2 linked regions of the Caenorhabditis elegans genome follow. The protein of the gene in region 2 interacts with the protein of the main gene of each other region in a pairwise test. Each region holds a gene or a part of one and is shown on either strand. Other genes may lie near its edges.

Evidence for each region.
Region 1: the proteins of alp-1 (region 2) and pat-12 interact in a two-hybrid assay, tested with the Caenorhabditis elegans proteins (2 studies listed by BioGRID).

The regions. Positions count from the first base shown.
Region 1 is NC_003281.10:735,361-740,771, forward strand, and holds the start of pat-12 (Protein pat-12), read right to left. Parts: upstream 3,619-5,411; coding exon 3,469-3,618; intron 2,321-3,468; coding exon 2,234-2,320; intron 268-2,233; coding exon 1-267. Other genes in the region: idpp-1 (SXP/RAL-2 family protein Ani s 5-like cation-binding domain-containing protein), read left to right, coding at 5,328-5,411.
Region 2 is NC_003282.8:8,850,784-8,856,166, forward strand, and holds the start of alp-1 (PDZ and LIM domain protein Zasp), read left to right. Parts: upstream 1-1,716; 5' UTR 1,717-1,730; coding exon 1,731-1,829; intron 1,830-2,335; coding exon 2,336-2,481; intron 2,482-3,746; exon of another isoform or gene 3,747-3,762; coding exon of another isoform or gene 3,763-3,794; intron 3,795-3,876; coding exon 3,877-3,985; intron 3,986-4,115; coding exon 4,116-4,273; intron 4,274-4,512; exon of another isoform or gene 4,513-4,572; coding exon of another isoform or gene 4,573-4,665; intron 4,666-4,709; coding exon of another isoform or gene 4,710-4,889; intron 4,890-4,950; coding exon of another isoform or gene 4,951-5,280; intron 5,281-5,383. Other genes in the region: T11B7.5 (uncharacterized protein), read right to left, coding at 4,573-4,665, 4,710-4,889, 4,951-5,280.

The DNA.
Region 1 (5,411 bases), on a different chromosome or scaffold from region 2:
TTCAGGTGGACGTATTGCAGGTTTGTGTTCACTTGCAATGTTCTCAGTACTTCCAGGTGGATATAATAGCTGTGACTTGTACAATTGTCTGCTAGAAATGGTAGTTGTCGATGGTTGTTGCTGTGAAGGATGTGGCTGGTGCTGTATCGTCTCTGCAACTGGAGGTGGTGATGGTGGTGGTGGATGGTGTTGTTGTGGAGGATGTTGGATCTGTTGACTACTGTGGATATATGACGATGATTCTACGTGGTATGATGCACGACGTTCCTGAAAATTATTCAAGATTATTTTAAGTTAAACTTTTTTTAATTTTTTGTATGTTTTTTCCTTCCTCTACATCGTTTCTTAAAACTTTACTGAACACAATTCTAGACCTCTTCAACTTCTGGAATGTATGGCAAACTGATAGTAGGTTTTGTCCCAAAAACCGTGCCCCGGCGTGGTGGACGCGAAGAATGCGATCGAGATGACGTGGAGGATGACGCCACTCGAGCCAGATATTCTGCTCGTAACTGCCTGACTGTCGAGTACGGCGGTTCGGTATTGTCGTCGTTGGTTGAGGACATATTTGGATGGAAGCCTAATTGTCAGTAACTTTTCTATATAATTCTCTAGGATTTTTCAATAAGGCAAGACGAGATCTCAGTGGGAGAAAAGAAAATAGAGTAACTATAAATATAAAAATTATAGATTTGGTCAAAGATGAGATCATTTCAATGATGGACACTTTTTAATTTTGAAAAGGTATCTTGTTAGAGAATTTTTTTTAAAAATCGATTTCGCCAATAAAAGTTAACAAAACAATATCTCCGTGATTTTTGAATTTGCAACTTTCCAAAAAAACTCTTTTCGAGGGCAAAAAATGAAGTGTTGAGCAGCGAGAGCCGACCACTACGGTATGTACTCGAATAAACAGAGAATCCCAAAATTGTGAGAAACGCAGGAAACGAGAGTGCTGGTGTAACGATGAAAAAGAATGGTTTTGAAAAAGAAGTACAACACAATGTTGGACATTTTTCTCACCCGCCCAGCAAACAGAAGCAACAGTGATTAGAGATGGGTGCCTTGCGCTCAGAGTTATGTCTATTGACCACAAAAGTTTTTGAAACAATAGGTATGTTAAAGCTGTTCCGCCGAGAAACATTTGGTTGCAACCATCAAATTTAAAAATTGAAATAGAATTGAAAAGATTGAACCTAGATTCTGGCACCTAATAATGAAAAAAAACACAGTGCTTTTGAGGATAATGGGGAGCCAGAGACTTAGTGAGAGGTCGGAGAGACGCACCCGGGAACTCCTAGGATTTTGACGAATGTGTTTGTCTTTCTTGTTTCGTATGTTAAAAACGAGGGATAGTGGAGAGAAAGACAAAACGAAGCAAAAAGCGCCAGGAGCAACACAGGGGAGGAGGAGGTTAAGGCACGCACGAGCATGAACACTTATCACCATGAGCACACTATTCGGGTCAAATGCGTGTTTCCCCGGTGCGCGGAACATAAGAACGACGCGGAACGCATGACGGTTAAGAACTACTGCAGAGAAATGATAAATACATCTATGTGTGGAGATGACTGGGATTTAACGAATTTCTGTAAATGTTTAGGAATACGTTTGCAGGTGGTGTCAGGCTCTCCCATTACAGTGTGGTCTACGAAAAATGCGGGAATTTTTTCCCAAAAAAATTGTGGTGTCAGCACGCTCAATCATACAAAAAAATCAGATGTCTGTGTCTTACCTCCCGCATTTTTTGAAGATCAAACTGAATTGAGACATTCTGACTCCAAGTGCGTTTGTTACACTAATATAATCTTTTCAGAAGTTGAAGTGAATTTTAACAAACTAAAGTAGAATTTTCGATATTTATTTCACTTTCATATAATACATAGTGGTGGCATAGAAAAGTTATTAGGCCTTAAAAACAGCTCCAGAGAGTACTATAATTTTATAAGATCTCCTGGGTCGTTGTAGAACTCCTATGCAGTAAAAAAATAGAATTCGGGGTAGATCCTTATGTTTTAAGCTATGAATTGGACTTCAAGACTTGCTAAAGTTGTAATTAATTAACCTATTTCTCGACTTGGACATTTTTTAGCTTTGAAGATACTCCTTTTGGAGATGACTATTTACTAGGTAAGTCTGATCGTTGTAATTCTAATGGTTTGATACATTGGTTCACTAGATCCTTAATTTACAATTTTTCAGATATTCAAAATTGTTACCAACTAAAACATACCGAATACTTAGCCAAATGGAAGTCTTTCCTCAGTTGCCAGTGCAGCGGATCTGTACCTTCCGACTTCTCGTTGTCGGGTGCACCAACCTGTAATCAAAACTGTTTGTATTTTAGGCAATTTGTTTCAATGTTGTTCAATTCGAAAATTGCTTTGTTTTTATTTCGGATTACTGATTCAACAGTCAAAGCATCACCCCCACGCATACACCGACAATTATTGTGGGAGGTGCGCGAGCGCGGGCGCCTGCTACTGCTGCTCCGAACAAACTTCGAAACAAACAATTTATGATTGCGGTAAGAGATAGAGTGAAGATAAGGAAGCAATGAAGGTTCAAAGTCAATAGGATTTTCTAAAAAAAAAATAAAGCATCAAATATGGAAAAGGAAATAACATATGATGGTCGAACATGATTATTTTGGAATATCAAACTAGATTAGTTCGTTTTTTTTTTGTCACCAAGAAATTAAAAACCTCAACCAATACTGAATTTTAGTCTTATTTTTAGGCAATAACAATTTTGAAAAAAAACTGAAAGTTAACTAAAAAGGAATATATGCAATGAACACTTTTCCTTTCATTTTGATCTTAAGACTGTATGATCAAGACAAAACCTAAGTTTGAGCCTAAACATAATTCTAAGTACAATCCTAAGCTTAAACCTAAGCATATACCTACGCCTAAACATAGGCCTAAGTCTAAGCTTATACATACGCCTAAGTCTGAGCCTAAGCCTATGCTTATACCTACACCTAAGAATAATGTTTATCTTATAGTTAGGCTTAAACGGATTACACTGCACCCTAAGTCTGAGCCTTAAACTACGACTAAGCCTTAGTCTCGTTATGCATCATTTTTAACAAGAAACAAAAAATTCCTACAACTTTAACCTGAAAACCTCTAAAAAAAACCTACTCATTAAAAAAAATTTCAAAAAAAAGGAAAATCCTCATAAAAATGAAGGAGGAGTAAAGAGGAAAAGAAAAGAGTTTCAAATTCTATCCGTCAAGCCCCCTCTCTCGCCGCGCAGAGCCTCCAGCAGCCACACATACAGTTTGTGTGTGCGTCGGCGGAAGTTTCAAGAGGCTTCTATTCGATCGAAGGAGAGATGTGTTAAGCGAGAGAAAACTCTTCGGCAGAGACACTATTCGATTTGGCGTAGAGCGCAGGACGCAAATTTTTTGGTGGATCTCATTAGTTGAGATTTTTTGGGTTGAGAGTATAGACAGGGGCTTACTTTTCCAGTCGGAAGCTGGTCCATTGATCTGTACTTCTTAGGCTCATTCACCTTTGAGGTGTGATCCAAATATCGATTTTTGCGCATTTTGATCAGCCATCCAGAATCTCCCGGAGATATTGGAGAAGCTTGAGGTTGCTGAAAACTCATTTATTGTTCAACGAATGCTCCGTTTTGAAAACCTGGAGTACCCGAAAACATCCCCGTCTACTCACCGGATTTAGCTGCTCGAATTGTGACGGCGTAGGCAAGACTGACAAATCGCTCATCGATTGGGAAGTTTTCTGAATTTCGGCTGACGGCTCTCTACACACTATTACGCTTCACACCACACCGTGTAGTTTCAGGGAAGTTGGTCAGTAGGTAGTAGGAGGATCCATGTGTTGTCGTTTCCAAGCCAGGGATATCTTTTTTAAAGGAGGGACAACACAGTATAACATGCACATAAGGACAAACAGGAAGACAAACAAACATGCAAGAAAGGGGATATAGACTTACTCTTTTCAGCGTCTCGATTCTCTGGAAACAAAATTATAAAAAATGTTCTAGTGTGAATAAGGTAACCCTAAACCAATGACATCTCTTAATTTTGTCAACTGGGTAATCGGGTCGATTTTTGAAAATGTATTTAACAATCTTAAAATAAATTTTTTTTTTCAAGGGTTCGACAAAGTTTGTTGGTCATCACTTGTAGGCTTTGTGTAATACATTTGTGATGTATTGCCAAATTTTCCTTATATTTTCTAATTTAACTATTTGAATACCTAGATTTATGCGGAACTCCGAATTACTTTTTAACTATACTTTTCATGCAGTGCTATGCATGCTCACCTGTTTCATGGTTTCAAGCTCCCTCAGGCTCTCATCATTCTTCTTTGGTCCAGGCCACCCTGGTTTGTTCCATGGCTGATTGGCTTCGTTTTCCTTTGCCTAGAACGTTTAATTTTATAATTTCATGACTTTATTAAATTAAAATCACCTTCAAATACTCTCTGAGCCGGGATGCTTCCATCTCACGATGGCGATCGACACTCTCGGCGAGATAGTTGCTGGTGGTGATTGGACGCGATTCACTGCTCTGAACATGATATAAAATTTTATTTCAGTCTTCAAAAGTACGGCTTACTCTGAACCGACGTTGCTCGAGCGGATCAAGTTTGATCTTCGACTTGCTATGCTCACTTGGGAAGTCTCCGGCTAGGTTCCGGCGGGGATCCGGAATTCTCGTGGAGATATATGGCATGTTAGCATTTGTGATAACCTGTAAGAGAAAAGTATATTGAGACCAACAAATAAGTTTAAAATAATGAGTCACTTATACAGAGCCTAATGATTTTGTAAAATAAACGTTTCTCGCGACGCAATCTGGCGCTGATCACTGTGATTTTTTTGTCGTAAGTTGCACTTTCTTCTAAAAGTTCCCTAAAGTTAATTGTATTTACACGATTTTTGAAAAACTACAAAATTTGAACTTTCTCTCTTTCCTCCCTCCCCCTTAACTAAATTGATGCGGATCTCAAATGCGGAAGGAGAAAGCCAGGTTGTTTGTTGATTGCCTCGTTACCCTCCACAAATGCTCAACTATTTTCCAGGTTAGTGACCCCATGATCGGCTTTCTTAGGTAGTGAGACTGTTTTTCTCTGGCTCCGTGCTTGCGCGCGCGCACGCAGAAGTTTACTTTCTAACGTTGTAGGAAAAAATGACCGTGTGTGCTCAAAGGAACACACATCGCGATCAGGTAGACTAGGCCTAAAGTATTTAAGGAGTCAACTGGGAACTTTGAGAAAGAAACCGTTTAATTTTCCCTTTTCCTCAAATTTTTCTTTGGTCGCCGTAACTTCTAGATTTTCCAGCAAACGATGAGGTTGCTCATTGTGCTCTCCGCACTACTTATCCCTTGTTTGGCGCAGCTTTCCGAAGACTCATCGGAACTAGAATTTGGT
Region 2 (5,383 bases):
AACAAGTGTTCATACTTTTATGTCTCAAGCTCTTTCAAACAAATCGCACTTTTGTTCCAAATTTCTTCTCATTTTCGTCTCGGTCTTCTTATCATCCCATCCCCCTCCCCTTTTCGTTGATAATCAGCAACGCGCACTCGCTTTACTACAAACACGTCCAATACCTGCGCCTCCTCAAAATCATCCCTATATCATTCCGAGAGCTCCCCCGGCTCTCGGGAGCTCAAGAGGAGATGGCCATGAAGTGCGAGAAGGCTTCCCGCGCCGGGAAGAGCGAGAGAATGTCAGAGTTCGAGCGAGAGGATGTGCTCACGCCCGCGCGTGCCGTACACCGTTGGGCCTGAAGCTTTATCCGCACAGACCTCAGAACAGCAGAACCCCCACCTCCGCAACACAACACCAAGTTGATTTTTTGGAATTTTTTTTTGGAACTCAACCGTCTTAATTTATACATTAGTTCTGTATACTTCTAGACTTGATACAATGCAATTTCAACCTAAAATTGAAGATGTAATCTGAAATCACCCATCTCATATAAGAAAACAATGTTTAAAACTACTTTTTAGATTATGAACGGCAATCTACCAATGCCTAAGGTTGGCACGGTTTTTTTTGAATAAAACTTGTACTCTGCAATTCGATAAATGTATTTAGGATCATGTAAGATTGTTTTTTGCCAACATTTTAGCTCACATACGATAGATCTCTAGGAAGTTTAGTTCAGAACGTCATTCGTGGTATTTTGTGTTTATAATTATTTTTTACTTCAAAGCAAGTAGCATTACCAGATTGTTCAAATAGTTCTTTTTTGGTTGGTTTGTAGGACTTTAATACTAATGTTCAAGTTGCAAACGGAGATACAGGACTTCATGTTAAAAATCGTTAGCTTTGTTGTTATAAAACTTTATGTTATAAAACTTTCATAAGTTTATGTAGATTGGCCTACAAAAAGTATCACCTCTTTAAAAGTTTAAAAAATGTTACTGGCAGTTAGAAATAAAACTACAAAACTGGGGTAATATACGGTGTTCATTATGAAACACACTGATTATGAAAAAAAAATTGGAAAAAACTAAAATTTCAATTATTGGGTGTGGTATCGTTTTTTAAACGTAGTTTAAAACTATATGTTCCGTTAAACGATAAGAGTTCCATAAAAAAAATTAACTGTCAATCACGAATGACTCATCGAATCAGAAAACTCGTTATGCTCAGTTTCATAATTTCAATTGAATTTCTTTATTAATTTTAAATAAAACATCTTACTTTTTCAACAATCTTTTTTTTTCTGTTGTAGTCATTCACTACCATTTCCCCCGTCAAATTGCCCGACAGTCGATAAATATACAAAATCCAGCATAATCTCACTCTCCCTTCTTTTACTCTTATTTTCTATTTTGCACTATACGGAAAACAATACGATTTTTTTGTTTTCAATTTTTAATTAAAAGTAAAAATTCAAAATGTCAAAATGTTTGCAAAATTTTTCATCTATAAACGCCACGTGGTTATTGAAGATTTCGTGTAACTATTGGACTGAAACGTTTGCGCTTTAGCAAATAACTGCGTTTGAAGTGGTACACATTTGAAACAAAATGAATATTTTCGGTTGGACAATATTTTTTTAAACATGTTCTACTAAATTCTGTTTGAAACTTTGATTTATTTTTATTTGTTTCGCTCTATTTTATTGACCAGGACACAATAAAATTTCAGGTAGTCAAATCAAGATGGAACGTGTGACCGTTCGAATGGCTCGTTCGGATCGCCGAACTCCATGGGGGTTCGGTGTGACAGAAGCCCCAGATGGAGCTGTTCTTATTGTTAATGTAAGCTCTTTATTATAAATTTAGTATAAGTGTCCCCCTATTTGTCATAAAGTAGTTTGTCAGTTTGTCCAAATTGAATCACAATAAAATTTGTCGTAAAAATTAGTCTTGAGGCATATGTTTTCGTATACATTTAATACAAAAACCAAGAAAACCCATCACATTCACTTTTAGCACCTCTAGGTTCTTACCGCGATCTCAAAAATCACCGCATCACCACAACTGATTTACAATCTCATCGCCTTCCTCACTTTCTCTCGCAGTTTTATCCTCTGGACATGCCCAGGGAAAATCGGAAGAGCAACACAAAAAACATCACTTATTACAATAAGTTAGATGCTTTCAAAATTTCTCTCAAAACTCATAGACAAAATGTAGTGAGAGATTAGTCGTTAACGTAAGAAAAAATGAATTTGAAAAATTGACATGCGTTGGGGGATTTTTTAAAGCAAAGGGAGCCTTCAATTCAAACAAGTTGAATATCGAATAAAAGTTGAAAATTTCAGGTAATAGGTGGTAGCTTAGCTGATCGTGCCGGTCTTCGTAATGGAGATGTTGTTGATCGTTTGGAAGATCTTGACAATTTGGACATAAACGCTGTTGATAGACTTCTAGTTACAGCTCATGAGAAGATTGAACTTATTGTTACCAGGTAACTCATCTCGTTAAACACTTCAAATTTATCAGTATAGCACCAATTATTCAAAATTTGTGTCGACCACAATAAATAAAAATTATATATAAACAGAGCAGGTGTGTGAAAATAATAAGAAAGACATAATTTTCTCGAATATTTCCCCTAAATCGATCCCTTGAAAATGTACACAACCCTAGTTATGTAATCTGTAGCTTTGTTATCACAACGCAATTCAAAGTAGGTTACTTACCAGTTTGTATTTCCGTTTATTAACCAGTCAAAGTGTTCTCCGTTTTAATCACATCACCAATGTATCCTACCTTTCCGTTTTTAATCCGTCTGCGTCTTAGTTTATCTCCAACAGCAAGTGCTTCATGCAATAGAATATAGATATCCAAAATTTTCGAAGCGAACACCCGCCATATAAACAGGCGAACAGATAAGAATCAGGCCAATCGGTACGGGGGAAGCAGAAGGCAACATTCTTCCGAATATCTCGTTGCAGGAAGAAGGAGGGACTTAGGATTTATACATACATATTCCGTTTGATGACAAATCGTTGCAACTGTTTTGAACTGTTTTGAAACGGTCAAATGTCCCAATCAATGTTTTCTTTAGCTTTGCAACAGCTTTGCAACACAAGTTTTGCTCCTCTTATAAGCACTCTAATGTCATTAAATTTGAAGCTCGTTACCTTTTTCCCTCAAAAATCATTCTGTGTTGATAGTTTTAACAAGCTTCAGATATTTTTGCCCCTTTAAACTTATTTTTGAGCACTTTTTACATAAGCAACTGCAAAAAAAGTTGCATGGAAAAATGTTATAGAATTGCCAAAAATAACTGCCACAGCATTCAAGATTCTTTCCAAAACTGCTGTATAGTTTTAAGAAATACCAAAACAAAACAGTTTGACAATTATTATTATTTTGGCTTTTACTTTTCCCGAATTCGCATAATTTTCTCCTGAATGTTATGTTTTACTTTGAACAGTTGAATTTTAAATAAATAGGGTTTTAATGATGAGTCAGTTCATGACAAAGCAATGTACTTCTGACACTGTTCTTTTTATTTCATTCTCTGTTGTTGTATCAGAGTGTTCCAACAATTTATTCACCCTCTCGCACACAAAAACTGAGAGAATGAAATTGTTGAATACTTCCTCTCACATATTTCCCTTTTCCAGGTGTTTATCATTTTTGAACAAAAAAACTTGCAAGTTTCCTTTTTCTTTACGTTTACCCATTTTCCTATAAATATATTTCATGTTCAATTGAAATGATTTAAGATTCAAAAGTGATGGTGAGAATCACAACGACGCCAAGACCATGGTAATTTGAAATTTAATCGAAGAGATTAAATAGAAAATAAATAAATTTTGATTTCATTCATATCAAATAAGTTTAATTTCAGGCAACCATCCGGTGCAGCCACCAGAATTTGGCGTCCAGAAGTAACTGAAAATACTGGACCAGGACAGGATCAAACCCCATATCGTGTCAATTTGCAGCATAGCAGTGATGTGAGTCATTTGAGTTTTGTTTTGAAATAGGAAGCTTCACACAAAATCGTTATTTGTAATCGTTTTTAACGACAATAGCATAACATTTTTTAAAATTTCTAATAAATAGTGAATAATAAATTATTTTTAGACCCGTCCACCACAAGGTTTCAACAATTCAGCACTTCCTTTTGAAACAGATCAACGTGTGAAACATATGCAATACAATTCTCCATTGGGAATTTATTCCGATAAGTCTGCAGCTGAGCAATATGTTCAACAAACTCAAGGATTGGGAGATAATTCAGGGTGAGTGTTTTTTACATGACTAAATTTTTGAAAGAGCACTTATAGTTCAATTTGGCCAGAAAATATAGTATAAATTTAGTTCGGAAGTTGGCCTATATTTTACAAAAAAATTTCTTGAGACAAGTCATGGCCAAGCTTTGTTCACCCTTTACCAACTTCTGAACAAAATTCTTAGGTTTGGGGCAGTTGGGTCAGAAGTGGCGGTCGAATTCCGAGTCTCATAAATTAATCCAAAAATTACAAGACGTTAACGCTTTTTATCATTCAATTTCAAGAAACGAAAAACAAATTAAATGTATTTAAAATCCACGACGGCTTCTCATTTCTCTGAAAGCTGCAGTGAGGTTATCGATGAACAAAAGCTCGCGTTTCTTGCGCGGAAGGTAGTCTCCCTGAAAATTGATATTCTTTATCATAACAATTCAATCGAAATTACCGTGTCGAAACCTCCGGCGACAGCAGCTTTTCCTGCATCATCTGTAGCATCAGTTTTAGCCTTGCAGTCCTCTGGAAGATGTGGCATGACAAGTGCCTTGGCTTGCTTTCCATAAACTTTTGCCAAGTTTTTAACCGCTGCCTTGTCAGCATCATCAAGTGACTCGAATTTGGATTTAAGCTGGAAAATGTAGGATAATTTAGATTGTGAAAAAACTAGGTCTTTTTCTAATTTCCCTCACCTCCGCAGAAATTTCTTGATGACTCTTGAATAAGTTTCCTTGTTCAAAATCGCTGATTACTTCTCCAGCCAATTCTTTTGCCTTGTCCGAAGGCAGATTTGTTTGTGCATCGGTCTTTGCCGCAGCCACAATGTCCCAGAATTTTTGACGAATTCCTTCTCCGAGAGTGTCCAAGAAAGCGTTCAGCTTGGTCATTTTGGCTGCTGCATCATCAGTTCCTTCAAGTTCAACACGAAGAGCTTCACAGGCTCCGCCTAATTTCAACTTATGATAATCTGCAACGACTGAGGTGCAGAAAAAGACAGTGAGAAGTACTAGTCGATGAATCATCTGAAAATTAGCTCAATAAATTTAAAAGGAGTTACGTTTCGATGAATACAAAAATAAAAGAAGTCCCAAAAGCCTCTACAGAAGAAGTTATAAATGGTTTAAA